7 linked regions of the Sus scrofa genome follow. The protein of the gene in region 1 purifies or fractionates together with the protein of each later gene. This does not show direct contact. Links are inferred from orthologs where the notes say so. Each region holds a gene or a part of one and is shown in the gene's direction. Other genes may lie near its edges. The genes, in order: PPP2R2B, PPP2CA, MYO9A, CDCA4, ECSIT, PPP2CB and SERTAD4.

Region 1 (3,126 bases):
ATTCACGGGTTACTGTTAATAGATTTTTTCTTAAGCAGTTGTTATTGTTCCAGTTTCCCTTCCATCTTAACCGAGATTCCAAAACTATACTTAGTAGGCACCTTCACACATGTGGTGTTTTTTGGGAACCTCCATATGCCACAGGTACGGCCCTAAAAAACAAAAAAGCAAAACAAAAACCTAAAAAGCAACATTCTTTCCATAACATTACAGTGTCTTTCCGTAACTCAGAAAATATTACTTGCACTGTAGTTGTGGTTGAGATTTTTTTCCCAAAAGAGTCTTTCTCTTGCTGTTTAAAAACTAATTGGGGAGCTCCCATTGTGGCGCAGCAGCAACAAATCTGACTAGTATCCGTGAGGATGCGGGTTCAATCCCTGGCCTCGCTCAGTGAGTTGGGGATCCAGCGTTGCTTTGAGCTATGGTGTGGGTTGCAGACACGGCTCAGATCCCGAGTTGTGTGGCTGTGGTGCAGGCCGGCAGCTGTAGCTCTGATTGGGTCCCTAGCCTGGGAACTTCCATATGCCATGGGTGTGTCCCTAAAAAGGAAAAAAACCCATGGGAGTTGTGGTGTGGGATGCACCGTTCCGCTTGTGGGTAGCAGTGAGGCCAAGTGGCTGAATGCTTGTGCCCTGGAGTCCAGCAGGTGTGAGCTGGAAGCCCGACGTGGGCATTGCTAAGCTGTATGACACTGCACGAGTGTCGGCTCTTCCTCCTGTGTAAACCCCTTTGATGGGTGATGGAAGAGGAAACGAGACTGGCAGGAAAGCAGTCAGCACCCTGCCTGATGAGGCCACAACAGCTTGCTCTATGACAGAGACACACGGTATCACAGCACAGGTTTCCTGCGCCAGGGGAACAAAACCTAATTCTGAGTTAATTCACCTGCACAGCCAACCAAGTGCCCACAAGCTTAGCCCCCTGGCTGGAGCCCAGTCCTGTCGGTTTCCCTGCATCTTCATCCAGCCCAGGGTGAGGTGCTCGGCGCTCCCGTCCTCATCCGCCACTCAGAGCCCCACCCACAAATGAGGCCGAGCCAGCCTCTCTGGGAGGTGCCGCCTCGGGATGCTGCTTGAGGGGCCTTATCTTTCCCTCAGCCTGTCACCTTGTCCACACCGGCACCGTTAAAGTGTCAGCTGGTGGCTTCTGGAAGGCTTTTGGCATTCACTGCTCTCTTAACCGGTTAGAGATACGCCTAAGTACGGATAACTCGTATAGAAATGCAGAAATCATCTGTCAATGCACCCCGATCCTATGTCCTCATCTTTCAGCCTTTCAAAATGTGACTTTCTGTTTGCTCCCTTCCCAAGGGAGACCACGACAGCATCCACTTCTTAGGTAAGTGTTCGGGAGAGGCTGAATTTGGAGCTCGCTCCTGGCAGGGGGAGAACACACGCGGGTGCACTGCTGCACTGTCGGCATCTCTCCCTCAGTGCTGATGCAAGAAAGCCTTAGCAGTCAGGCAGCACAGAATCCCACTCCCTCCCCACATCCAGCCTTTAAATATGCACAATATGATGGCTGTATACTGCTGCATCCCTATGCCCACAACTTCACTCCAGCCTCAGAATCCTGACGTGAGGGAGGGGGCCTGGGATCATTAAGTCCACAGGACTCATTGATGGAGCCCAAGAGCCAAAAGGCATCCATCGATCAGCAGCAAGGAGGGGTATCACAATCCTTTGTTTGCAAACCTCGCCGAAGAGCTCGTTGCTCTTAGCGGTCCCCAAGAAGCTCAGCAGTCACACTGCAGAGCCTGTGGAGGTCTGGGGTTTCGGGTCTGTCTTTAGGAGAAGGTCCGGTTGCCAAAAGCTGGCCTCCGCAGGCTGTCGTTTGTCCCTGAAAGGCTTTGTCTGTGGCACTCAGGTCCCCTTTTCCCTCTCTGCCTTGCAGTGTCATCATGACGGGCTCCTACAACAACTTCTTCAGGATGTTTGACCGAAACACCAAGCGTGATGTCACCCTTGAGGCCTCAAGGGAAAACAGTAAACCCCGGGCGATCCTAAAGCCACGCAAGGTGTGCGTGGGGGGCAAGCGGAGGAAGGACGAGATCAGTGTCGACAGCCTGGACTTTAGCAAAAAGATCTTGCATACAGCTTGGCACCCCTCAGAAAATATCATAGCAGTGGCGGCTACAAACAACCTCTATATATTCCAGGACAAGGTCAACTAGAAGGACGCGTTAGTACTTAATAATCTCACACACTGAATACTAGTCAAAACACTTTTTAAATGTTTCTTTGGGTGTTCGTTTGATGCAGCGACATTCATTTCCCTACACAGGAAACAACTGGAATAGAACTCATTGGATTCCGACTTTCCCAAATCCTCAGTTCTAAGAAACTTTTTGTCAAACCCAGTAGGTTCTGGGACACTCCTTCCTGTTTAGAATTGAGAGCTGCCAGCTAACCGTAATTCTTCCATAGTTGACTTGAATTTCTGATGCTTTTATTGCCCCGTTTTTCTCTGGTGGGTCCCGTGTTTTGTTTATAGGTGTCTGCTGAGATAAAAAATGAGGTTGTCTGTAGTATTTAAAGAGAAAAGAGATAAGTTTTTTTTTTAATTAAGCAATTCCACTTGATTGAAAAAAATTCAACGAAAAAATAAAACACCGTTTACTCTAAGAGAAATTCTCCTCTTTTTGTGAAAAGTCAGCACCAGTCAGCATCTTCTGCCCCTAAAGCCCTTTTATTTCCCCCCCCCCATTTTCTTCTTAACAGTTTCCTGTGAGCCAGGGACTTCTTTCACGAGGCTTCGAAGGGGACACAGAATGCGAAGGGAAGGGCCACATGGATGCCACTCTACCCTTTTTTGTAAGCGCCATAGAAACAGGCTGAGAATTTGGCTGGGCAACACCGTGATGCTTCAGGGGACTTAAAGAGAATGCTTTCTACCCAGAGCGTCTCAGACTTAGCTTGGCGAGGCCACGGCGGGGCGGGGGCAGAGTCCATCTGCAGCTTTGTTACTCTTGCTTTTTTGTCATTTTCAATGGCTCCATAGAATCCTCTACTGACATGTGCCTTGGCCTTTTCCCGTCAACCTTTTCCAGACTATTTATTCCATTGACGCTTGAAGGCCGCGTCCCGGTTGTTTATACTCCGGCCTCCTAAATGTAGTAGTGGCACC
Region 2 (4,287 bases), about 11 Mb from region 1:
CTCCTGAAGTCCATGTGCAAAACTTTCTCTAGGGAAAACAACAAGGAGAAGAAGAGCTGGGCATGGGTTGTGCCCATCTACACCTTAACTAGATAATGCCAGATTTTCCAAAGTGGTTGTCCCAAAGTACAGCAGTGTATAAGAGACCCCATTGCTCCACATCCTCACCAACATTGGATGTTGACAGTTTTTGCCAAATGGGTGAGAGTCAAACCTGGAATCTGTGGTTTTCATTTCCCTGCTTACTACCCTTGTGTTACTGGCCATTCATCTTCCTGCTTTTGTGAAGGGCTCTTCTGCCTGTCTATCCCCAGATCATCCCAGGAAGTACACAAGCTCCGTCAGGGTAGGGTACCTCTGTTTGTATGACCCTTCTGTCCTTCGGGCATGAATCTTGAACATAACTGGCGGTGTACGGAGCCAAATATTTCTGCGAATGCAAGGACAACGGAATGCGGATACATTTCACGAATCTCGAAGAGATTTATAGCCAGAGGTCCGATCCTAGGGTATCTGAGCTTTCTTTAAAGCGCACATCACAGCCGCTTCTAACACTACCGGGTCTCAATCAGGACCGGTGCGTCCATCTCCTTGCGGTCTTCCCTCTAGAAAGAAGGCCTGAGTGGGCAGACGGTTGGTGGGGGTGGGGTCGGGGGCGTTTTCTTCTTCCCTTGGAGGCTCGGAGTCGGAGGAAAGCGCCCACCTAGGGGGGAAGGCCACAATGGCAAGACTGCAGCGGCGCCTGTGGAAGCCAGGAGCGCTAGGAGGCCCCAGCCATGGCGCTAGAAGAGACATCGAGGCCCGGGGACAGGTGTGTTGGGGAGTCAGGTGCACTGCGCAGTACTGCAGGTACACCCTCTTCCGCCTACGACTGACCTAATTACAAGGTGCTGGCCGCACCCGGAGGCAGGGGTGGCTACTCCAACCTGGCTACCACTCGGCGCCTGTTCCTGCTCCCAAGATGCAGCAATTCCAGTGCTGTTGTAGAATGGAGGAGCCACGGGGCCCAATTCTCGTTTCCGTGCTTTGGCAGTCGCCAGGTGAGGAGCCGAGGCGTATCACCTCAGGGAAAAAGTCTCCGGCAACAAGGAGCCACCCTCGCACCCCGGCTGCGCCTGCGCCTGGTCCGCAACTACACCCTGCAGGATTTAGTGCTCTAAGATTAGCCCACTTCCCAGCTATAAGCAAGGCCCCTGCTTGGACTCGGTCTTCCCTTCCCCCTCGGCCCCTCCCTTCTACAGGACCGCGCCCTAAAAGCGAAGGTGCCTGTTTCCAGCCGGCTACTTTACGCGCCTGCGCCCTGGCCCCTAGTTCCCGCCCCCGCTCGGGTCTGGCCGCAGATGAGAGCCGGCCCGGCAGTTGCGCAGCTCGTATCCCGGCGCTTCTACCCCTCCTCACCCCGCCACCTCCTGACGCCGGGCGTGACGTCACCACGCCGGCGGCCGCCATTACAGAGCCGAGCTCCAAGGCTAGAGCGAGCGGAGGAGGTCAGTGGCCGGTAGCCGAACACCGAGGGGCGAGTCAACCGGGCAGCGCTACTGCCGAGCAGCCTTCAGCAGCCACACAAGTACCCCGGGGGCCGACGGCAGCGTGTGCGTGTGGCCCGTGTGCGGGCGGCGGCGCGGGAGTAGCGCGGAGCGGCAGCCGGTTCGGGCGGGTGGCATCATGGACGAGAAGGTGTTCACTAAGGAGCTGGACCAGTGGATCGAGCAGCTGAATGAGTGCAAGCAGCTGTCCGAGTCCCAGGTCAAGAGCCTCTGCGAGAAGGTGAGCTGCACTCCGGCTTCGGGAGCCGGGGCGGGCCGAGCCCGCCGAGAAGGAAGCGGCCGCGGGGAGGGTGCAACATGGCGGAGGCCAGCGGCCCCGGCCCCCGAGCCTCCCAGACCGGCCCCCGGCGCGGCCCGGCGGCGGCTCCCGGACGACCCGGCGCCCCCTGCCTCCCGCGCAGGGATTGGTTGTCGCTGCCACCGCCGCCTAAAATGGCGCCGTTCACCCGACTCCGGGGCTTCAGAGCTTCCCGGCCTTGGCTGGAAGCGAAGTGGCTGGGGGAGGGTGCGGGGGAGCGGAGACCCTGCGAGTAAGGGTCAGGGACGGTTTTGATATCTGGGCACGAGGTCTTAGGTTCTACGGCCTGGGAATGGGGCCTGGGACTCTTCTGTGAGTTTGGTGGGAGGTTTCTTACTTGTACTCAGGCCGAATGCTTAGGTCCAGAGCTGTCCAGAGGGTCCCCCAGAGGCAAGCTTGTAGGCCGGATCCCGGGACCTATCTAATAAAGGTCACGCAGATTTAGCATCGTCTTGAGTGGTTTATGGTAAACCTCTCGAGCTGTGTTTTCCAGAGACTTATTAGTACATTTTTTCGAGAATTTTTAAATGAGCTTTTAATCTAAGTTTCAATGAAGGTCATGGTGGTAGTTATAGGGAGGAGTATAACTTATTTTTCATAGTTGGAAGAATTAGACATTTTGGTGAGTCATTCTACATAGGAGCTTTGGGATTGGAAATCAAGTGTCAGTTTAATCTCTGATTTATATGCTGACTCAAATTGGATAGTATGAAACCCTTCTTTAAGCTTAAGGTTCTTGGCATTTTGCCATTTGTTTTTTAAATGAGCAGCATAAACTGTTAAGACCAGCAGATTTTGTATCCTTGCTCTCTGCTGGAAAAGTTGTTAGTATATTTGTGACTTTAAGTAGTAAGTATGATATTAACAGCTGTTGATCGAGCTTTTGCTGTATTCCAGTCATTGTGTTTAGTGTTTAAATCCCACAAACGTTTAAAATGGAATGTTGTAGTCTGTTTTAGAAGTCCATTTTAAATGACCTAATTCTGATTTGTTTTTCCCAAGGAGTTGGGGAAACAGGTAGCCTGTTTAAGTCTTATAATTCAGTTTTCTAAAGTAGAGAAAATGCTGATCTCCACCATGAATGTTTCAACTTCTCTTTTTAAAAATAACTCTGCAGCATCTTTAGTTCCACAGAATGGTGGAGTATCATCAACATTTTGTATTAGTGAAGAGAGTTATTAGAAAGCAATTACGCTGACTCGTTTGTGGTTTGATGTGAAAATTAGATTCGTAAATTTGACATATACGCTCCTAAAACAGGCTTTTTCAGAAACTCTTCTGTGAATTACTGCAATTTAAGTAAGTCTAATTCAGATTTGTTTATCCCAAGCCTCAACAAAACTTCTAGTTGATGAGGTGGCACATCATCTCTTGGAGCTGAATTTTAATACTGGCAATGTAGAGCCTTTTGTTGCTTCTTGATCCTTAATTCTTTTACATCAGATGAAAATGACATTTGTTTAAAGTTTTGGAAGTGGGCTTTTAAAAATTGTTTAATGTATAGTGTTAGGTCTTAGTTTTTGGATACTGTAAGTGATGATTTTAAAGATTTTTAGAGTTGAGTACTTAACTCTATATAAAGACTTTGAGTCAGCAGTTGGCTAGATGACTAGTTATTTGTGTAGCAAACATTGCAACAGAGTAATGATGTGGTTGGAAGACCACTGGACTGTGAGTTAGACCTGGACACTGGTCCTTTTTCTGCCACCAAGTAATTGTGACCTTGAGGCAATCACTTCACTTGGTCCACATTTTCTTGTCTATAGAGTTAAAACATGTTCCAGGGTTCCTTCTAATCATTTGAGATTATACAATTGCATTTTAAAATAGTACTCTGTATTTAAATATTGAACACTTATTGGATATCCAAGATTGCTTACTTTTATGAGAGGAGTGAAAAGCAATGAAAAATAATCATGCTTATTTTTAAGGATCTTGAATCTGGTTGGAAGTCTGTAGTAGATAGACCACAGAAGTAAAGGGTCTGTGTTGGAGACAGCAGAAGATATTGGAATTATGGTGGGGGGACTGAAGCTTGATCCCCTTGGTAAATATTGTTTGCTATGTCTCTGTAATATCAAGATGGAGTGAGATTAATCAGTTTATGTTTAAATCCCCATTGCTCATCCACTGTATAAAGATTTTAATTCTTGGAGCATATATATATATATATATATATCTTTGATGCTAGATTTTCAAGACATGGGTCCTTTTGGAGGTTGTCACATAGCCTTCATACTGTTTTTAATTTGTAAGTATTCCGTCTTTGGGAACTGTATTAACCTTCCAAAATAAATTAACTTGAAGGCAGTTTTTTAGGTATAGTAAGTCTTTCTAGTGAAACAAAAGTTCTCTTTTCACTATTAATATTTGTGTGGCCAATAGCACAACTGGCAAAACCTGTATATTTTGAAAATCTTGAGTGGAAAACCTTTTTTCATT
Region 3 (3,942 bases), on another chromosome or scaffold:
ACTGCATCCTCATGGAGGGCAGTAGGGTTTATTACTGCTGAGCCACAATGGGAACGCCTGGTTTTACTTTTTAAAAGAATCCCAGGTGACTCTAATGTGCATACAAGATTTAATTCCACTACCGCTCCTGGTTCTGTAAATTACCCACTCTCACTCATAAACTGTCCACATCTTGGTTATGGTACACTTCATAACCACCTTAAAAGAAAACACTGTTCTGGCCCACACGCTTGTCCCTCACCTCATTACTTTATAACTCTTTATTACTCAAAGAGTGAGTAACTTACGCCACGTGGTTTTCGCTAACTGTATTCTATTCCTCTTTTTATTTCAGCGCCAGTACTGTCAAAAATATTTTTGTACCCATCATTCCCTCTGCTTCTATCTCTTATACCGCTTTAACCAGCTACTGCTCATTAGCTTTCTAACACAAATTAAGAGTGACCCAGAGGGTTTCCTCAAGTCATACACAATCAGGTGGTCCCTCTTCTACGCTCAAAGAATACCTTGTGCTTTTTTTTTTTTTTCTATTATAATTTTACTTTACTATCACGGAGGATTCTCTCATCGTCTCCAACATACTTCGAAACACTTGAGACTATTTCATTTGCTTCTGACTTTCTGGAGTCTAATGCACGGAAAGTGCTCAGTAAAAAGTCTGAGGGATGAAAAGAAAGAAGTACTAGGAAACGGAGGTCCGGGGCGGGGAAATGCTGGGGAAAGGGCGTGTGTGTGTGGAAACGGGGGCGGGAGGGGGGGGCGCTAAGGAGGCGGCGCTAAGAATTTTGAGCCAGAATTGGGGAGTGGGTGTGGAGACGCTAGAACTGCGTGGGCGGCAAAACGATCTCCTGCCCAGACACACCGACCGACAAACCGAAGTGGGGAGGAGGCTTCTTACCTGCCTCGGGCCTCACCTCCCCAGCCAGCCTTCAGGCACCTCGGTATTGGCCGGAAAGCGAGAGCTGCAGTCGTAAACCCAGAGTTTTCTAGCCCAACATTGCGACATCCCTCTCTAGAAGAGATAAAACCTAAGGCAGAGTTCCCAACTCTGCCGTAAGGTGAGGAAGAAAAGTTTGGGCGGGGCCGCCTGAAGCGGACGAAATGGGGCGTGTCCACGCAAGCGCATGCTGTACTTGCTGGCGGCATCACGTGCGGGGGCGGAGTCGGGCGAGCAGGCTGGCTCCCGAGGGCGGTAGGGGGCGTGGGAGGTAAGTGCGCGCGCGCTTGCTCTTCTGCAGCTGAGGAGTCGTGCGGGGCGGGGCCGCGTGCGCGGGGTCGGGGGCGCGCGGGCCCGAGCGGACTGGTACGTGGTGGCGGTTGACTGTGGCTGCTGAGTGAACAGCAAGGGTGGTGAGAGGCGGCGGTGGAGGCACCCGCGACACCCGCAGAGGCGGCAGTAGCGGTTGAGGCGGCGACTGAACGCGTGGTCTCAGGGCGGGTGCGGCCGGGGATGTGCCTGCCCAGGCCGGGCGGAGTCTCTCTGACAGGGCGGGGGATGCGCGGCGGCCGCTCGCCCGGACCCTAAGGCAGCTGGGCCCACCCTCCCGGAGCCGTCCGACCCTTGGTGATCTTGGCCTCTGCTGTCTCCTCCGGCCTGACCCTGGGGCCGAGTTTGGGAGGCGGCTTCCGCCGAAGAGGAGGGGGCTGCGGTGGCCACCGCGGCGGAGCCCGAGGTAAGACCCGCCCAAGCCGCCCAGCGGCCCTGCCGCCCAGCCCGGCCCACGTCTCGGTCTCTCTCTTTGGCTCCTGCGGGGCCGCCCCGCCCCGCCCCAGCGGAGACGCCCCGCGAGCTAGTCTGCGCTGGAGCCTCCCTGACACCCGATCGCTGCCCCGGGTACCCAGTGGACCCCACCCATCGTGTATTCCTTTGGCCAGGCACCATTCCGGCGCTCCAACCTCTCCTGGTGTTAGTCTCGGGCCTCTCACCCCATCACACCCCACTAGAACCCTCTTCGGACTCTCGTAGTACTCTTAAATGGGGCCTCGAGACTGTTGCATCCTCCTGTGAGCTGACCCAATCACAGTTCCTCAGATCCGTTTACGCTTGCCCTCTAAACCCATTGCGACCCCCAGCTCCAAGGCAGATCCATCGCTGCCCACTCCTCTTCCTAGCGGACCTGCTCACCGCCTAGCTGAAGCTCTTCCCTTACTCAACTCGTCTTTCAGATAGTCTATTTCATGATGCTCTTACTTCCCAAGAAATCTGGTGTCAGCTCCTCTTTAGACACCAGCAGCGGCCTCTTCTTCTAGACCTCCTTTCCTTAGGCAGACCTTAATATCTTTCTCCGAGGTCGTGATCCTTTCTTTGGTTGAAAGGGCTTTGCCGTGAAATCCTGAAGGCATTTTGCTTAGCCTAGTGTTTTCCCCCCAGCGGGGCTAAGGGGACCAATTGACACTCATGTTTGGAGGTTTAGTCTCCGGGCTTTAGAAAGAGGGAGATGGAAGATCATGGAAGCCCAGGGCAGGCGGTGTGTGCTATTGTAAGGTCACACAGCCTGCTTCTCATCTTCTGTAGAATGTGTGGGGTAGTACAGATCTGACATTTTAGGGACTTCTGGAAGGGTTAATTAACACAACAGTAATGAATGTCTCCATGTGGTATCATTTGTTTCACCTTCTTGTAGATTTTTACAGCTCTTTTGCACTGCTTTTGAAGGATAGCAAGATACTTTTTTTTTTTTTTTGAATTTGCTGTTTTAGAATTTGCTGGGAAAGTAAGATTTGTAGTTTTCCTTAATTTCTGAAGATTTTGATGTCAGTTTAATAATAAAATTCTGCTACCTGGTGCTGCTGACTTGCTTTTTCAAGAGGCAGGTACAGTTATCATTGCAGTGTTCACCAATGTCATTATCAACAGCCTTATTAGCAGTAGTTAAACAGTAAAACATAGTTTGTTGAACTCCTGAGCTGTCAAGAAGGAAATGTAATTTTACACCAGATGATCACTGCATAATTTTAACGTTGGTATAGGGATGAAGTATAGAGAGGTTTTTGTAGTCAGTACTTTAAAATTTTTTATTTTTTGTATGTGGAACCGAGGAAGGAGAAAATCATATTAAAATTATAGGTCATAATTAGACATAGTATAAAAATCAAAAGGTTCAAAAGAGTATGTAGTAAAAAGTTTCTCTTTTCCCTGTATCTTCCAACCATCCATTTTCCCTCCTTAGAAACAACCACTATTTCCATCTTTGTGTGTGTTGTTCTTGCGATATTTCTAGCATACAGGTCTACACACTTATGTGTGTGTGTGTAAAAATATATATATTTTTTTGGCTGTACCTGCAGCAGGCAAAAGTTCCTGGGCCAGGGATTGAATCTGTGCCACAGCAGTGACCTGTACCGTAGCAGTGACAACGCTGGATCCTTAACCTACTTAGGTCACGAGGGAACTCGTGTATTTATGTTCTTAAAACACCACAAATGCTTGTGTACTAGATGGAATGTATATAGCTTCCCCCTACCCTTCTCCCCCCACCCCCATTTAATAATAGATCCTAGAGATCACTCAACGGTTGTACATTTGGAAGTGCCTCATTTACTGGCTGGATAGTATATCATTTTGGTAGTCTTGAGGTTATTTTCAGTCTTTGGTTTTATTAACATTGCTGCATGCTTTTCTCTTAAATGTATCAGCTGCTATGTGTGTGTTTTTTTATTATTTATTTATTATTTTATTTGGCATGCTCATGGCAGGCGGAAGTTCCCCGGCCAGAGATTGAACCCATGCCACAGCAGTGACCCGAGCCACAGCAGTGACAATGCTGGATCATTAACCCGCTGATCTACCAGGGAAACTTATATATATATATATATATATATATATAAGTTTTAAGTAATTTTCAGGATTTAAAAAAATTTCCTGATGGTTCTTTTGTGAACCTGCAAAAAAGGATAAACTGAATTTCTCATTGAACCTTTGAGCTTCCATGGAGTGATTAG
Region 4 (4,044 bases), on another chromosome or scaffold:
TCATTAATTTTCTGGAATACAACTGCTGTTTTAAAAACCTGCTAACACCAACATCTGTGTTCACCCATGAGTCAATCTCTGTTTTCTGGTTTTTTCCCCATGTTTTTCTACCATCTTTTTGGTCTTGTGTCCCGGGATGACCGTTACTTTTTAATTTTATGCCGGACATTTTGGGCAAATAAGAGTGAAGGCTCTGGAAGACATTATCTTGCTCCAGAGCATCCTGGACCGTGGTCAGTCCGACAGCGTAAAACCACATCAAGCTAGCGCTGGCTCTAGTTTGCGTTCCCACTCGCAATTTGATCAAGTTGAGAGTATCTTATTTCCTTCGCTCTGTGTTAACATCTCTTCCCACTTTCCACTGGTTTGTAGATCTTGTCTCTCTGGCGGGTTATCTGTGTAGGAAGGAACTTAACCTTGCGTTCAGCCTGTGGCGAGGAGCCAGTTTCCTTTGGGCGTCCACCTTGTTTGCGGGGAAGTCGCCTATCACGGTCCCTGTCTCCGGCCCCAGCCCTGCAGTGACCCAATTGGACTTTCCGCTTCCACCTAGTCTGTTCCCACGCCCCGCCTCCTCCCGCCCCCCACCCCCAGCCTGCTCCCCGCCCGCAGACCCCCCGCCCCCGCCCCCAGGCTTCCCTGCCTCCTCGAGGTGTTCCTCAGACGCCCCTTGTCCTAGAGGCTTGTGCGAGCGGGGTCCCCACCTCCCCGTGCTTTCCTGACAGCACCGCATCACGGGACACCGCAGAACGCCGGCTCTGCACGGGTTATCACTGCAGCCTGCAATCAAGAAAGCTGCCAGAATTGACGGAGTCGGGATTCTGTATCCTATTTAAGACCTGTCCACTAAGAAGTTATTTTTCAAAGAAACCTCCCCCGCTTTCGACTTTTACGATTTAAGGGACTATCAAAGGAGCTGCGGCTGCCACGCAGCTGCCTCTCCCCTTTCGCCCCCGCCCCCGCCTCGCCCTCTTCCCCGCCTCTATCCGTCCTCTTCCGCCTTCCCCGCCCCGCCCCCGGGTGCCCGGCGCAGGCGCACTAGGGCCGCGCGAGGAGACCTGGGAGCCGGTGGGCGGGGCGGCCGAGGGCGCGGGCCCAACGGCCAACGCGGCCGCGCGGGAACTCGCGCGCCAGGCCCCGCCCGCGGTTTGAACCGGAGGCCCCGCCCCGGCTCTCGGCCAATCAGCGGGCGGGGCGGCCTGCTCGGCGGCTCTTTGTGGGCAAAGCTGCGCGGCCCCGCCCCGGCGGCTCCTCCTCCGGCGGCCCCGCCCCTCCCGGCGGCCCCTCCCTCCGCGGCGGCGCGGGCGGCGCGGACGGTGTGCGGCCAGGTGAGCGTCTTCGCTGGGGCCGCGGGCCTTTGTGCGCCGGCGGGACGGCCCGGCTTCTCCGTCTCGGGGCTTCGGGGAGGGTACGGGCAGCGGCCCGGGGCGCCTGGGGGGTGCTTGGGGGAAGGCCCGAGGCGTGGGACCCGGAGGGCCGGGGGAGGAGGGCCGCCGCGACCTCTCCCCCCGCCCGCCCGCCCGCCCGCCCGACGCGCGAGCCGCCACCTGGAACTCCCTGTGCTGCTGCCGCAGCCTCCACTTGGGCCGTCTCGCAGCGTCTCAGAAGTCGTATCGCCTTGGCTTTAACCAAACTGGAGCTTTTTCAGGAGGAGGAGGGACCCTTAAGAAGGGTCTGCGGGCTGCCTCTGCGCGGCACCCCGCGCCGTCGTCCTGCCTTTGACTTGGAAGGAGTCCGAGCAGGCCCTCCTGCTTCTTTAGCGGCGGCTGCCCCGGCCCCCACCAAGACGACCTGTAGGGACCCTGGCTCCTTGTCCGGCCGACTTGGAGTTACAAGCCCTGAGCGGAGCGCCCCCGACTGCCGCTCTCTGTCACCCCCATCCATCCTCCCGGCCTCCTTCCTTCCTTCCATCCGTCCACCCTTCTTTCCTCCCACCCACCCGTCCATCCGCCGTTTTCTGTTTCCCTCCTAATGTGCATTCCTTGCAGAATGAGGAGTGGGTGGGGGGTATCAGCAAGGGAGGGCTGGGATTTCCATTGGGTCCTTCTGGCAGAGCTGAGGTTTGCTGGGACTGTGTTGCCCTCCAGGCCGTTGCCTCTTTCTCTGGAAGCCCGAGGGCAGGGCTGCCTCCCTGTGGCTGGCTGCGTGCCCGTGCGTGTTGAGTGTAGGTTCTTTTCCTTATGTCTTGGTTTCAGCTGCTTCGAAAAGGATTGCTAAGGATATTTCGCAATAGTTTCCCTCCTCCCGGTACCCCTCTTTAAGCGGGTCAGGGAGTATCTGGGAGCAAATGATGCCAGCCTTGGGTGGCCTGAAGCTGGCGCTCTGCGTGTGTTCCCTGCCGTCTAGAGGAAGCAGGGAGGGCCGTAGGATGTGGGAGGAGACGGATCCCCGGACCCCGCTGCTAAGGGAACTTCTTCGCTGGGCTCCTTGTGCCTGCCCGGTCCGGCCTCGGTCGGATAACTAGGAAAAGTACCAGACACGCGCTGCCACAGCAAGCTTATTGCCCCCAAAGCAGGATTACCAGGAAAAGCGTCTGCCAGCTAGCTGTTTGCCTGGAGAACCTGTGGTCCCGGCAAATAGAGGGTTCCCCTTCCTGAGAAGTTTGCTGTTTCCTTTTCTGGGGCCCGCGGGGCCTGTGCACAGGGCCAGCAGGACTGAGTTAGCTGTTCTGTTAAACCAGCCAGAAGAGGTACTCTCCGTGACAAGGTTGCGTTTCCTATTGTGTGACCTCCCTACGTGCAGTAGCTCTTTATTTTCAAGTTACGCTGTGTCTTATAATTGCAGTTTCAGACTAAGCAGTCAGTCACGACCTTTTGCGTTTTTACAAACGGTGGCACGTTTTATCTTGGAAAGAGGGCTTCGAGTTTCCGTCAACTTGCTATTAAGCGCATTCCCAGGTCTGTATTTTACCCCAAGCACCAGAAGTCCCGGACGTCAAGATTAGCGCTGGCTTATGAGAAGAACCGAGACGGACAGTGGAGGGGTGACCCCCGCGCCCACTTGGAGGCAGTGACTCGCCTGCTCCATCTTCTCCCATTTTTCTCTAGTATTTCAAAGCAGATCTGATCGTGAGACGGAAACGGAGAATGTTCTTGCTGATGTGCCTTAACCTGAAGCTCAGGAGAGTGCTTGGCAGTGGCTGAAGGTCATGGTGAGAGTTTGGCCTTGGCCCTCCCAGCCTGCTGCTCTGGACCTGGGAGTCTGCATCTTCCACCAGCTCTCGGGATGGCTGGCCACACGGTGTGGGAGCTGCTGCAGGATAAGCAGCCTGGGCGTGACTGGGGTCCCCTTTGCCGGGGGTGCTCTGGGCGGGCTGCCCTCGGGCTGCAGCATAGGCCGCTTCCCAGATTAGGGGCCAAATCAGAGCTGCGGCTGCCCGGCCGCAACCACACGGGGTCCGAGCTGCTCCTGTGACCCTCGCCGCAGTGTGCAGCCACCCCCCTTCATTTCCCTCGGTGCGCTCGGCGCTTGCTCTGGAGGAGGCGAGGGGCAGGGCTGTGCCATCACCCAGGGCAGACCCTGCAGGCCAGCTGTCCATTGACATTGGAGGGTTTCGAGTGGCCCACGCTGAAGGCTCAGTGGGACTGGGGCATGGAGCAGACACGAGGTGAGACCTTGTGACGGACGCGGAGGTGCCAGGCGGGTGATGCGGCCTGTTGTTTTGTTTGTTCAGAACTTGACCGCCAGTGAGGCACTGCTGTCAGGACAGCCTGCGGGGAGCGGGGTCTGGGGTCTGTCACTGGGTGTTAGGAGGGTTCGGTGCCTTCAGGCCACAGTCCCAGGCTGGGCAGGGAGCTGGGACAGCCCAGCCTAAGGGCTCTGTGTCCCCATGTCTGCCCCAAAACATCTCTCAGGGGCTCTTTCGACCATGCCGTGTTCTTGGTCCCACGTACAGATGTCTGCGGGGGGGATCCTCATAGGCCACCTCCTGGGCTCAGCCTCCTCCAGTCCCCCCAGCATAGCCCCTGGGGGTCCGCTCTGGGGTGAGCACTGCCCGTGGGCTGCACCCTTCCTCAGGAACCAGTCCGCAGTGTGGCACAGGAACAG
Region 5 (4,183 bases), about 78 Mb from region 1:
TGTTGAGGCACAGTCATAAACACACATTGTCATATACTGTCACTGACATACCGATGGTGGAGGGGCACCCATACGAGTCACACCCATACAAGTCAGGGACACACAGTGTTACAAACACATACCAACAGCTGGACACAACTACATAATGGAATCCCACATCAGAGACCACCCCAGATTGGCATTGTCAGTCAGACCTTTATACCACCGCTGAGACACAGAGTTTCACACACACACACACACACACACACACACACACACACACACACGAAGTCAGAGATTCATATAGGTACAGGCACACACTGGTAGACACAATCACACACAGATATGTAAAGGGCTATAACAGTCACATGTGTCTTGATGGTGGGACAATCATTTATCCACAAGTTGGGGACACATGGGGTGTCATAAACACAGTCATCTACCCACTAGTGTTCAGACATGCAATCACACACACATTATTGCATGGACCATCAAAGAAATGTTGACACACCTAATCCCAGCCCCTCAGAATTCTGGGACAAATTCCACATCCTTCCACACACACAGAATGACAGACACCCAGAAGCTGATACAATCACAAGTGCACATGCAGCTACTGACACGTGGACACACAAAGTCCCACATGTACCAATGTCCACACTGACACACGTGGGGACTATCCCTGACCTACCCTCATACAGCCACACACAAACGTACACACCTTTGTTTGAGTTCTGAGAAACTACGAAAACCCATGAAAACATCCACACTCTATCGCAATCTCACACACACATACGCACACACACACAATTGTGAACATGCACACTACCCTACAGGATCCTCAACCGTCCAAGCGAGGGAGGTGGAATAAGGTATTAGTGTGAATCCCCCATAATAACAGTAGCAAACGCTTACATGGCTGTTCTGCATAGATTAACTCCATTATTCCATAAAACAAAGCCCAAAAAACAAACAAAACAAAAAACAAAAAACCTCTACGAGGTTATTATAATTGGCCATTTCAGAGGTGAGACTATTGAGGCACAGACAGGTTAAGCACTAGTCCAGACTCCAGGAGCTAGATTAGCAGTCCTTCTTCTTCCCTAACGTCAGCGCCGAATCAGCGCCTGGCACACAGTAAGCCTTCAAATGTTCGTTGAAAAAATGAGGGAATCCACATTACTTAGACCTTTAATATTTCATTCCCGTATTTCAGGTGGGCACTAGGACTGTCAGTTGAGTTCACCCGCTGCCTGAGTCCAATGTCCCAGCTCCGAAACCGCACAGTCTCTCCTTCCCGAACCAAGCTCGCTCATTCGTGGGGAGTCCAGCTTGCCTCGTTAGGGGAGGGGCCTGACTCACCACGAGGCGGGGCCAAGGTCGCTGCGCCTTTTTATTGGTGCTCCTTTCTTCGAGGCGGGACCTCTCTTAAACTGGCGCTGTTGATTTGCCGGCTCCCTGGTGGCCCGTGACCCAGAAGATCTTCGTGCAACATGGCGGCGCCCAGGGGCAAGACATAACCGGCCCGGATTCCGCGGCCGTCCGCGTGAATAGGTAGGTCCCACGCGGGGAGGCAAGCGTGAATTTATGAGCCCTGGGGCAGCCCCTTTGGGGCCAGCAGCGCGGAAGGGCGGCCCCAGGAGGATCCCGGCTGCCGGGGCCAGGGCACCGTGACCTTTTCGGGTACACGGCGGGACGTTCCGAGGAGAGCTGCCTTCTGTGTACCCGCCTCCCCACATCCCTAATCTCTAATCTTGGAGATGAGACAGCTGAGGCTCAGAAAAGTTAAAGCCGTCTCCCAAGGTCACGCCACAGGTTGGCAGCTAGGCTAAAGTTCGCTTCTTTCTCCCAAGGGCGTCAAAATCCTAGCAGCCAGCCTCAGAGCTGCTGTAGGTACACCCTGCCTAGGGGTTCAGATTTATAGAAGCTTTGTAGAAATTTAGCTCTTCTTATTCATTTGATATTTGTTGGGTACCTACTATATAGCAGGCACTATCCCAGGTGCAAAAGAGACAGCAAAAAGGAAGACAGACAAAAATCTCTGGTCTCAGGAGAGCTAGACGTTGAACAAATCAGAAGTAAATGAAACGTGACTTCAGATGCTAATTGCTAAAAATTCATTCATCAGGATGATGGGGCTTTAGATTGGGAATGGGGCAGTAGTCAGGGAAGGCGTCTCATTTGAATATAGACCTGAATAACCAGGCACAGCAATGAACTGACCTGGGGAAGGAATTTCCAAACAGGGAAAAGCAACCTCAGAGGCTCTGAGACTAGATAAAGTCAGCTTGTTTAAGAAACAGCGTAATGGGAGAGTTCCCTGTTGGTCTAGTGGTTAGGATTCAGAGCTTTCACCTCTGCAGCCTGAGTTCAACCCCTGATCTGGGAACTGAGATCCCACAACAAGCTGCTGCACACTGCAGCCAAAAATAAATAAAAATTAAATAAAATTTAAAAGAGAAATAAATGGTGTAGCTGGAGCTTCCAGTAATAACAGTTGAGTTTGGAGGGATGGAGCCTGTCTGATTTTTATCTCATGTGATGTGCAATTAGTGACTTTAGCCGGAGAACACTTTAGTTTACATTTTAAAAAAGCTCCCTATGACCACTTTAGGGAGAACTGGCTGGAGGCAGGTAAGGAAAGGAGTGTGGGTAGATGAAGAGAGGTCATGGACTGGAGTTGTGGCTTGCAGATGGAGAGAAATGGGATTGTTTGAGGTGGATCTGGATGTAGCAACATGAGCAGCTGATGAATTGGTTGGGGAAGTGAGGAACACAGTGGACTCAGAACCAGGTTTGTGGTTGATTGACTAGGAATGATGGTGTAATGACATCAGGCAAGGATGAGATGGAACAAGTTTAAGCAGGGGCATAAGTTAGGCGCAAAATAAGTTTGAGATGGCTAGGTATACACCAAAGTGGCAGTTAGGTATGGAAGCTGGAGCTCAGGGATGGTGATAACCATTGGGAACTATCAGCACATAGATCTTCATTTCTCAGACTTTAACACACATAAGAGAAATGTGGACTTTTGTTTAAATGCAGATTCTGCTTCAATAGGTCAGGGTTAGGGCTGAGATTCTGCATCCAAATAATGATGCCAATACAGCTGCTCCCTGAATAGCAAAGGTTTAGATTAAGGTCTAATCTCAGCTGGATGTTAGAGTCATTGGAGTGCTTTAAATGCTGATGCCTGGGCCCTACCTCTAGATATTCTGATACAATATATCTGGGGTATGGCCTGGGCATGTGATTCTTTAAAGCTTCCTAGATAATGCTGAAATGAACAAGGTTTGAGAACTATGAGAGCTGCCTACAGAAATACAGAGAGAACACCTCTCTTGGAAGCTGAATGATACCTTACGGTAGCAGACAGACAAGTTCAAAGTGTAGGACTCTTTGCAGCATTATTACTCAAAAGACAGCATTAAGCATCACATAGAAGTTTGTTAGATTAAAAAAGTCTTTGGCTCCACCCTAAACATTCTGAATCAGAACCTGCATTTTAACAATATTCTCAGCAATTCATCTGCACATTCAAGTCTGCAAGCACTGCACACTTTAGAGAAGGAAGCCAGTCTTTCTGATTGGCTGAGAAACAGGCCTGGGGGCTAGGAAGAAAATCAAGAGTGCCAAGGTGGGAGGAGGGCATCACCCATTCCAGATACTTCTGAGAAACTGAGCAAAATGAGGCCAGAGAAATAACCACTGGCTTTGTTAAATGTAGAACGTGCAAGGGGTCTTTACAGGAGTGGTGTCAGTGGAGTGGCTGGGACAAGAGCCAAACTGGAGACAGTGAAGAAGTAACATGTAGACCCCTCTTGGGAAAAGCTGTACTATAAATAGAGCAGAGATGTGGAACAGAGGTGGAAGGAGATGCTAGAGAAAGTTTAAAGGGTGATATGAGTGATCCAAGTATGTACCAACTTATTTTATGAGGCCAGCATTACCCTGATACCAAACCAAACAGACACAATAAGAAACAAAAACTACATCCCAATATCCCTTACCAATATGGTTGCAAAAATCCTCAACAGAATACCAGCAAACCAATTTTGGCAACATAAAAAAAGATTATATACATCATGACCAAATGGAATTTATCCCAGAAATGCAATATTGGTTTAATATTTGAAAACCAATTAATGTAATGTACTTTTCTTTTTTGGTCTCTTTGGTCTTTTTAGGGCCACACCCGCAGCAT
Region 6 (4,230 bases), on another chromosome or scaffold:
ACCAGGTGTAGCTGAAACAGCCTCCTTTCAACCTTTGTAGACTAGCCTCCTCAGAGACTGCAAATCTATTGCAATCTTACAGATACCCCTCCTATTCTGTACGTATTGTTTTACCACCTTTTCATGTTCTGTCTTGCAGTTGGTTTGCTGCTGTTTACAAGACACTTGAGAACAGGAGCTCTTCCAGCCTTATTTTCCACCATAGGACCTATTTCGGTTATTAGGAGTATTTGTAGCTTTCCAAAGAGACCATGGTCTTGCACACATTTGTTCTCCGCCACTTTCCAAAAAAAAAACCCAAAATCCTGAGAACTCCTTTCCTCTTTTCCAGGGAACTCCAAAGTGTTGCTTAGGGAGAAGGTTCAAAATTCAGTTGAAATGCCACCTCTCTCAGGGTTTCCCTAGTGGTCCAGTGGTTAAGACTCGGCCCTTTCGCTGATGCTGCTGGGGTTTAGTCTCTGGTCTGAGAACTGAGACCCCGCAGCAAACCACTGCAAAAGGAAAAGAAAAAAAATGCCACCCTTCTAAAGTTTTCTGTAGCTATTGCCTAGGAGGGATAAGGCAAGAAACAGAGGAACATGGCTCCCAAACTCTACTGTTGGATAAGCACTTGTAGAATTTAATCATGATAACCTGAAAAGGGCTTATTGCCCCCTTTTAACAGATGATGAACTTGAGGCTGGGGGAGCTTTGGTGATTGTCCAAGGACCTGGCTGGGAGGCTAGCAATGCCAAGAGGGAGCTGGAGGGAGTTCTTGCCTTCAGATACAAGAGGCTGCCTCCCATTTGGGTTCAGTGGCAATAATCTGCAACTATAATATAGGAAGTCAACTTGGTAAGCATTAGCTGTTCAAGAGATCTGGCAGTTAGCAGTTGCTCATTAAGTATCTGTTGCATGAACAAATCATGAGAATTCAGTAAACACTGCAGTCAACTCCGTGGAGGATGAGGGAGCTGGGACACTGATTGGTAAAACACAGAGCTGTCATCTCATCTTTCTGATGCTGAAAGGGGGGATTCGAGATGTCAGTGCCTCACAGCTAGTTCATAACAGAGGTAAGACTAGAAAGAATTTATTTTTTTTCTCAACAAATGTTGACCACCTGCTATGGGAGAGTGATAGATTCTGAGGAGACAATGTTGTCAAGGAGGGGGACAAGCTTTCCAATCCCCTCTACAGAACGCTAAAATAAAAAGAAGAAAAAAAGGGGGAAAAAAGCACTGCAGGAAACTATAGTGGGTACAGACTTGCGTAAAATTATGTAAAGAAAGAACTGGGAGAGCTTGGTCGATAAAGTGCAAGATGGAAGGGAAAGGGACCGTTTCTCCGCCGAGCCACACGGGGGCGCTGTACCCCTCCTCGAGTCCCGGGCTCCGGCGGCACCGCCTGCTAACCTTTTCCCGGCGGAAATGCCCGGGCGATGACGGAAACCCAGAGGGAGGGGAAAGAAAGAGCGAGAGAGAAGGGGCAAGGGAATCCAGAGCAGCGGGCGGGCGGGAGGCGGCGGCGGCGGCAAGTGGCCATAATCCGGCGGGAGCTGCGCGGAAGTCCCGCACCTCCCCGCGCCCTCCAGTGACGCCCAGGGCGCGCGGCCCGGCGGGCCAGGGCGGGCGGGGGTCTCCCGAAGGCCGCGCGCCAGGAGCCGCCCGCGGGGCTCGGGCGGGGCGCGGGGTCCGGGGCCGCGCTCCCCCACTCCTTCCTCTCCCACTGGGAGCTGGCGGCGGCGGGCGAGGGGAGCGGCGCGAGGGGCGAGGGCGGGCGGGGAGGGGGGCGGGAGACGGCGGGGGAGGGGCTCGGGTCGCCATGGACGACAAGGCGTTCACCAAGGAGCTGGACCAGTGGGTCGAGCAGCTGAACGAGTGTAAACAGCTTAATGAGAACCAAGTGCGGACCCTATGCGAAAAGGTAAGAGAGAAAATTGGCGAGATGCGGCCGGCGTGCGACAGGCTGGGTGGGGGCTGGGACCTATCCTCTCCCCTCTCCCTCCTCTCCCCTCCCCCCTCCTTCCCCTCCCCCTTTCTCCTCCCCCCCTCCCCCCCACCTCTTCTCCTGGCCTGCTTGTCCCTTGTCCGGCGCGTCCGTCTGGGACCTGCGGGGCTGCGTCTCCCACTCGGGCAGCCTCCCCCGGGAGGAGCCGGGCTGTTCCTGGACCCCCTGGAGACCCAGCACCCGGCTGGGGTTGGAAGCTCCCAGTCCTGGCCTAAGGGGTCCGGGGTAGGTGGGCGGGGGCAACGTGGCACCCGGAATCCACTCCTGGAGTGATTGGGGCGCCGACTGTTTTCTGGGTTTTGCTGACACTCCAGTATTTCCGTGCGGACTAGCAATCCGCGCTTTAGCTGGCTGGCAGGGTAATCTAGGCAATCTCGTAGTTGAAAATGAACCTGGACGTTGTGAATCTCAAGGCCCTTGATATAATAAACGTAGCCGTTTTCTCAGGTGACTCGGTCCTTCAGAAATCATCGAGTTGAAATGTATCAAGCATTTGTTTATAGAGAGGTGGGTGTGATGGCGGACTGTGATTTTTAAAATAGAAGTTGACTTTGGTTGAGACAGATGGTGACTGGTCTTCTTCAATTGAGAAGCTCTCTGGAAGCAAAAATGTTGATTTTCAGAAACAGGACGGCTAGTCTTAAGTTTGGCAACACTGCTTGCATGAAATGATCAATGGGTACGTGTTTTACGTGCAGGGTAACACTTTTCAGAAAGTTATTTCTATTACATATTTAAGTTGTTTTTTTCCAAAAAGTAGTAAAATATGCAGGCAATTAACTGTTTACAGTCGCTGTTGATTGTGTGATTTTAGGCCACTTTCTGAGTCCTATATTCGTTGTTTTCTTAACCTCGAATTATTTCAGATTTTACAGTTTATTTTTCTCATTCCACCTTTTTTTTGGCCTAAATAATATTAATACATTTTTATGTAAAAAGGTTCATATGAAGGAGTAACAAAGTTATTTATTCTTTAATGCTTTTGATTGGTTTGTATTTTTAAGCCATGACCCATAAGACTTTCTTGATCATTGTGTTTGTAAGCCGGGATGCCTCCGAAAAGCATTGAAGAAGGAAAGATTTTGTCAATGTTGTTTATAGCACACCCTTAAAATTAAGCATCTTAGGAATGGAGGAGTAATAGCTGTTTTGTTGTTGTTGTTTTCCTTTTTATGGCCGCATCCAAGCATATAGAAGTTCCCTGGGCCAGGGGTTAAATCTAAACTGTAGCTGTGGAGTTAAATCCTTTAACACATTGAGTGGGCCAGAGATCAAACCTGGACCTCTGCAAAGACCTGAGCTGCTGCTGTCAGATTCTTAACCCACTGCACCATTGTGGGAACTCCCAAGAATAGTGTTTTTAGTTACATGTATTGTTGCTTAGGGTCTACATACATATGTAACTTTTTAGAATTGAGGTATAGTTAATTTACAATGTTGTGTTAGTTTCAGGTATACAGCAGTCACTCAGTTACACACATATATGTGTATTCTTTTTCAGATTTTTTTTCCATTATAGGCTATTACAAAAATATTGAATAAAGTTCCCTGAGCTGTACAGCACATTTTTGTTTTTACCTGTTTTATATATAGTCGTGTGTTTGTGTGCTCATCCCAAACTCCTAACTTACCTCTTCACCCCCTTCCCCCGCTATCCTCTTTAGTAACTATAAGTTTGTTTTCTGTATCTGTGAGTCTGTTAAATAACTATTTGTTAACACAGGAGTGTATTTCTGTAAATAGAACTGCCAAGCAAATGGTATTTTTGTTTCCCTGAAACAGGCTGTTTACTTACCACTTCAAGTTCCACATTCAGTTTTCTTGTGTGATAACCTGTAATTTCATGTCTTAGAATTTACATTTTAATTCACGCTCTCTTAGGCTCCAGTGTCAGGTGAAACATTCAGTTCTGAAATTAGCTGAGTCAGTTCACCTCACTGTGAACAGTAGATAAAGACTTGAAGTTATGGACAAAGTTGGCAGTTGAATCAGTTTTTCCCTTTAATTCTCTAATAAATTTAAGATGTCTTCTGGAGAAGAATATTCTACCCCTCAACCACACTTGAATCCTAATCACTTGAGGAAGCTTTCTGTGTTTGTCCAGAGAGATTATTTTAACTTTAGCTCCTGAATTGAACTACCAATCCCTAGGACCTTTGAGATATATCTAACCTTATGTCTTACTTTTTTTCTTTGAATATTTGTACTTGCCCACTAAGCATGAATTTTTAAGTGAAAATT
Region 7 (3,500 bases), on another chromosome or scaffold:
GGTCACAGGATTCCGTATGATAGCAACTATTAAGACAAATGTTTATTTTTAATCGCCACATGTACAGACAAATACGTGGCCACGTTATCTTCTAGAAGGAAAGGAAAGGAACGTATTTTGTTTGGAGAACCTCTGGCAAACCACATGTCATTTGTCATATCTGATTTATTACCACAGGATCCCATTACAGGGGAATTTCAAATCCTATAACAACATCCAAGATCACATACTTTAAGAGGAAGTATGTGGAAGAAGAGGATTTTCACCCACCACTCAGCAGCTGTAGCCATAAAGTATGTTTTTTTAATAGTCGTTACTTTTATTAAGAGTTTAAGATACTTAGTCGATTGATCCATTTCCAGAAATTAAATTGTCCCACCCAAGCAACGAAAATGAGCCCCTGCTCGCGGAGCCACGTTAATCTCGTTGTCACTTTTTGGGGCCTGGTGTTATTTTGCACAAGTATTTGAAGGAGCCAGCGAGAGCGCCTCTACCCAGAAATAACAAAATTGCATAGTCCAAGGACCGTCTTTTTCACTAAGTGATTGCATTTGTCTCAGGTTACCTTAAGGGTCAAGGTGATTGGTGCTTTTACATGTGCAGAAGTGCACTTGTTCCCTCCTGGCCTGCTCTCCCTCTCTGACCTCTAGTTCCAAGGCCTGTTGCCACATGTGTGTGCCCGCATGGGGGTCCAGGGCTTCTCCTGACCTCTCGAGGTCGCCCTCACCATCCCTGGGAAGTGTGTGCACGAAAGTAGAAACCTGTTCTTCAGGGTGCGTTCATCACTGGTGTTGAGTGTGTTCAAACGTGTCATTCATCCCCAGAAAAGACCAAAGCCAACTCTTTTGCATCTGTAGGAAGCAAACAACAGGATTGGAAAAGTGCAGAGAAGTATGAAACCGGCCAGCTGAGCTTTTGAAATACCAGTTCCTTTTCCTCGTGGTTATCTTTCTTCAAAAACTTATCTGCTGATTTAATCGAGGAGAGGATAAGCCAGACCGTAGTTGTTTGAGAAGCAGAGAGGATTTTTAAGGTTTTAACTCTTCTTCCTCTCTCTCACCTCTTACTCCCTCTCCCCACCCCCACCTTTTAAATACTGCGTTTGACTCTGCTCATCAAAAGACACCAGCATGCATTGGCAGGTGCTGGGCTTTTCCCTGCATGTGTGGTTCCTGCCTTTGGTTTAAATCACAGATCCTCGGGTTGGCTTTTTTTATGACCTGGAAGAGCTGGCCCCCAGGACACAAGCGGTTTGTTTCCTTTTTAGTTTCTGTGTTGTGGCCAGAACAGTCTTCCAAATTGCTGCTGGATTTGAACGAACCATCACACAGTGATGGAATTCACACAGCTCAGGAGTGAGTCCTCTGATTCCTTCTCTGCAGCGCTTCTGCCCAACTCCAGAAAGAGCCTCCTTTGCCCTTCAACCGACAGGTCCTTTTAGGGTTTGAGCCTCGTTAGTTATCTTTGTCCCTCTGTCAAGCAAAGGTAATTGCAAGAGTGAAACACAGACGGACAGTGCTGAAAGCCAGATGTCACGGTCCTTGATGGCCAGGGTTTGAAGTATACTTGTGATGACCCACATCTTGGCATCTTGTAAAAAAAGACATACAATATACAATACCGACATGTAACATATGCGTCTAGGTGTGGGTGGGTGTGATTTGTATACACACACATCAAGGCACGAGTATCAAAGGAGTCCAGCTTAATACGTTTACCAAGTGGGAAAAAGCCATGTAACTAGCATCCAGATAAAGAAGCGACATACCCAGCAACTCATAACCTCTCCTTATGTCCCTTTCTGGTCACTCTGCCCACCGAAGAACCCACCCTCCTGACTTCTAAGAGCATAGATGAGTTGGGTGCCATCCCCCTCACTGCCCAGGCATCCTGACCGGTCCCTGCTGAGGTCTGCCCTGGGGCTGGATTCCCCAGGGCTTCACCTCACCAGCGAGTCTCCTGGGACGAGTGTTCATTAGCCACACAAGGGGTATAGCATCTCTAAACGAACTTGGGGGGGAACCACAACCTTCCCAGACCCCGAACCTGCCAGGAGGGAAATGGGCCCCATGCCACTTGAACATAGACCGTTTCCTAAGCTGTCTCTTCCTGTTTTGGTTTGTAGACCATCTCGATCTTTGAGGAGCGCGCGCACATCCTTTATATGTCCTTAGAAAAGCTAAAGTTTATCGATGACCCTGAGGTGTACCTCCGACGATCGGTCCTGATCAACAACTTGATGAAAAGAATCCATGGGGAGATTATCATGCAGAATAACTGGTGCTTTCCCGCCTGCTCTTTCAATGGCGCCTCCGCCCAGGAGTGGTTTATGGCTCAAGACTGTCCTTACCGAAAACGACCTCGGATGGCCAAAGAGGAGTGTGAAAAGTTTCATGCCTGCTGCTTTTACCAAGAATGTGGTGGTCACTACCTAAATTTACCCCTGTCTGTCAATGCTAACGTCGGAAGTGCCTCCTCCTCCTCCTCCTCTTCCTCCTCTTCCTCTCCCTCTCCCCCTCCGCCTTTACCGAGTTGCTCCCACCAGGTGGATTTTGATGTAGGCAGCACACCTCTCTACAAGGGCGATGGCCAGATACCTGCCAATGAAATCTTTGTTACGAATGCCAGGTCGCTTGGTGTTCAGGAAAAGGCCAAATTAAATGATGAGAAAGCAGACGATGACACCAGCAGGGATGGCGGCCCCCTAAACCATGAACCCGTGGGACATGACCTTGCTTTTGAGTGCAAAGGCCAATTTTATGATTATTTTGAGACTGGATATAATGAAAAAAACAATGTAAGTGAGTCTTGGAAAAAGTCCATAAGGAAGAAGGAGCCTTCACCGAGCAACAAACTGTGTTGCAGCAAAGGAAGTAAAATTTGAGCCATCTTCTCACCGCAATCCCGACGCATGCGCAGCATGATCAATTAGCGCCCAGAAATTTTATTTTGAATGGATTTTATAGTTTTGTACAACTGATAAAATTATGCCACGAACATGCCGTGTCGTTTTAATGCCTGGAGAGCAGATTGCCTGAAACATCTGTATCGTAGGCATCAGCGCGCTACTTATAAATGTGGTGACAGTACCAAGAAAACAGTTGACTTAACGCTTAAAAGTATATCTTAGTTTTCTTACAGAAAAGATTAGTAGATTAGATGGGGGAACAATGTGGCCCTTGTGATATTTCTACTACCCCCGACCCCCAAGGAGCCTGTCACTGGCGAAGAACCCCCCCACATCTTTGCCAATTAATTAGGTAGTTCTTTGGTAAGCAAATTGATATAACCAGCAAAGGATGTCTGCTTCTTCTACATGATACAGTATTTTTTTTTTTTTTTCTAAAAAAAAGACTGAAGACAGGGAGCTAGATGAAATGGCTTCATGGTACTGTTAAGTGTGTGGATTTAACAGTCTTATGTGACAGATGAAATTAGGATAGAACGTAATGAAACATACCTGTCTAGGGCAGCAGTCAACAATATGAGTAGAGAGTGGT

Evidence for each region.
Region 2: the proteins of PPP2R2B (region 1) and PPP2CA purify together in Homo sapiens (affinity purification with mass spectrometry; 4 studies listed by BioGRID and IntAct, with this or other methods). This does not show direct contact. The link is inferred for Sus scrofa from reciprocal best matches to the Homo sapiens genes PPP2R2B and PPP2CA.
Region 3: the proteins of PPP2R2B (region 1) and MYO9A purify together in Homo sapiens (affinity purification with mass spectrometry; 4 studies listed by BioGRID and IntAct, with this or other methods). This does not show direct contact. The link is inferred for Sus scrofa from reciprocal best matches to the Homo sapiens genes PPP2R2B and MYO9A.
Region 4: the proteins of PPP2R2B (region 1) and CDCA4 purify together in Homo sapiens (affinity purification with mass spectrometry; 4 studies listed by BioGRID and IntAct, with this or other methods). This does not show direct contact. The link is inferred for Sus scrofa from reciprocal best matches to the Homo sapiens genes PPP2R2B and CDCA4.
Region 5: the proteins of PPP2R2B (region 1) and ECSIT purify together in Homo sapiens (affinity purification with mass spectrometry; 3 studies listed by BioGRID and IntAct, with this or other methods). This does not show direct contact. The link is inferred for Sus scrofa from reciprocal best matches to the Homo sapiens genes PPP2R2B and ECSIT.
Region 6: the proteins of PPP2R2B (region 1) and PPP2CB purify together in Homo sapiens (affinity purification with mass spectrometry; 5 studies listed by BioGRID and IntAct, with this or other methods). This does not show direct contact. The link is inferred for Sus scrofa from reciprocal best matches to the Homo sapiens genes PPP2R2B and PPP2CB.
Region 7: the proteins of PPP2R2B (region 1) and SERTAD4 purify together in Homo sapiens (co-immunoprecipitation; 3 studies listed by BioGRID and IntAct, with this or other methods). This does not show direct contact. The link is inferred for Sus scrofa from reciprocal best matches to the Homo sapiens genes PPP2R2B and SERTAD4.

What each region holds. Positions count from the first base shown.
Region 1 is NC_010444.4:147,937,574-147,940,699, reverse strand, and holds the end of PPP2R2B (serine/threonine-protein phosphatase 2A 55 kDa regulatory subunit B beta isoform), read left to right. Parts: intron 1-1,893; coding exon 1,894-2,173; 3' UTR 2,174-2,626; downstream 2,627-3,126. UniProt on the Homo sapiens protein: The B regulatory subunit might modulate substrate selectivity and catalytic activity, and might also direct the localization of the catalytic enzyme to a particular subcellular compartment.
Region 2 is NC_010444.4:136,519,831-136,524,117, reverse strand, and holds the start of PPP2CA (serine/threonine-protein phosphatase 2A catalytic subunit alpha isoform), read left to right. Parts: upstream 1-1,487; 5' UTR 1,488-1,665; coding exon 1,666-1,767; intron 1,768-4,287. UniProt on the Homo sapiens protein: Catalytic subunit of protein phosphatase 2A (PP2A), a serine/threonine phosphatase involved in the regulation of a wide variety of enzymes, signal transduction pathways, and cellular events.
Region 3 is NC_010443.5:169,593,972-169,597,913, reverse strand, and holds the start of MYO9A (unconventional myosin-IXa), read left to right. Parts: upstream 1-1,142; 5' UTR 1,143-1,208; exon of another isoform or gene 1,209-1,673; intron 1,674-3,942. UniProt on the Homo sapiens protein: Myosins are actin-based motor molecules with ATPase activity. Unconventional myosins serve in intracellular movements. Regulates Rho by stimulating it's GTPase activity in neurons.
Region 4 is NW_018084979.1:3,193,364-3,197,407, reverse strand, and holds the start of CDCA4 (cell division cycle-associated protein 4), read left to right. Parts: upstream 1-1,244; 5' UTR 1,245-1,325; intron 1,326-1,327; exon of another isoform or gene 1,328-1,405; intron 1,406-1,516; exon of another isoform or gene 1,517-3,148; intron 3,149-4,044. UniProt on the Homo sapiens protein: May participate in the regulation of cell proliferation through the E2F/RB pathway. May be involved in molecular regulation of hematopoietic stem cells and progenitor cell lineage commitment and differentiation.
Region 5 is NC_010444.4:70,167,963-70,172,145, reverse strand, and holds the start of ECSIT (evolutionarily conserved signaling intermediate in Toll pathway, mitochondrial), read left to right. Parts: upstream 1-1,383; 5' UTR 1,384-1,533; intron 1,534-4,183.
Region 6 is NC_010457.5:54,294,356-54,298,585, forward strand, and holds the start of PPP2CB (serine/threonine-protein phosphatase 2A catalytic subunit beta isoform), read left to right. Parts: upstream 1-1,430; 5' UTR 1,431-1,803; coding exon 1,804-1,905; intron 1,906-4,230.
Region 7 is NC_010451.4:132,738,444-132,741,943, reverse strand, and holds part of SERTAD4 (SERTA domain-containing protein 4), read left to right. Parts: intron 1-177; coding exon 178-293; intron 294-2,125; coding exon 2,126-2,884; 3' UTR 2,885-3,500.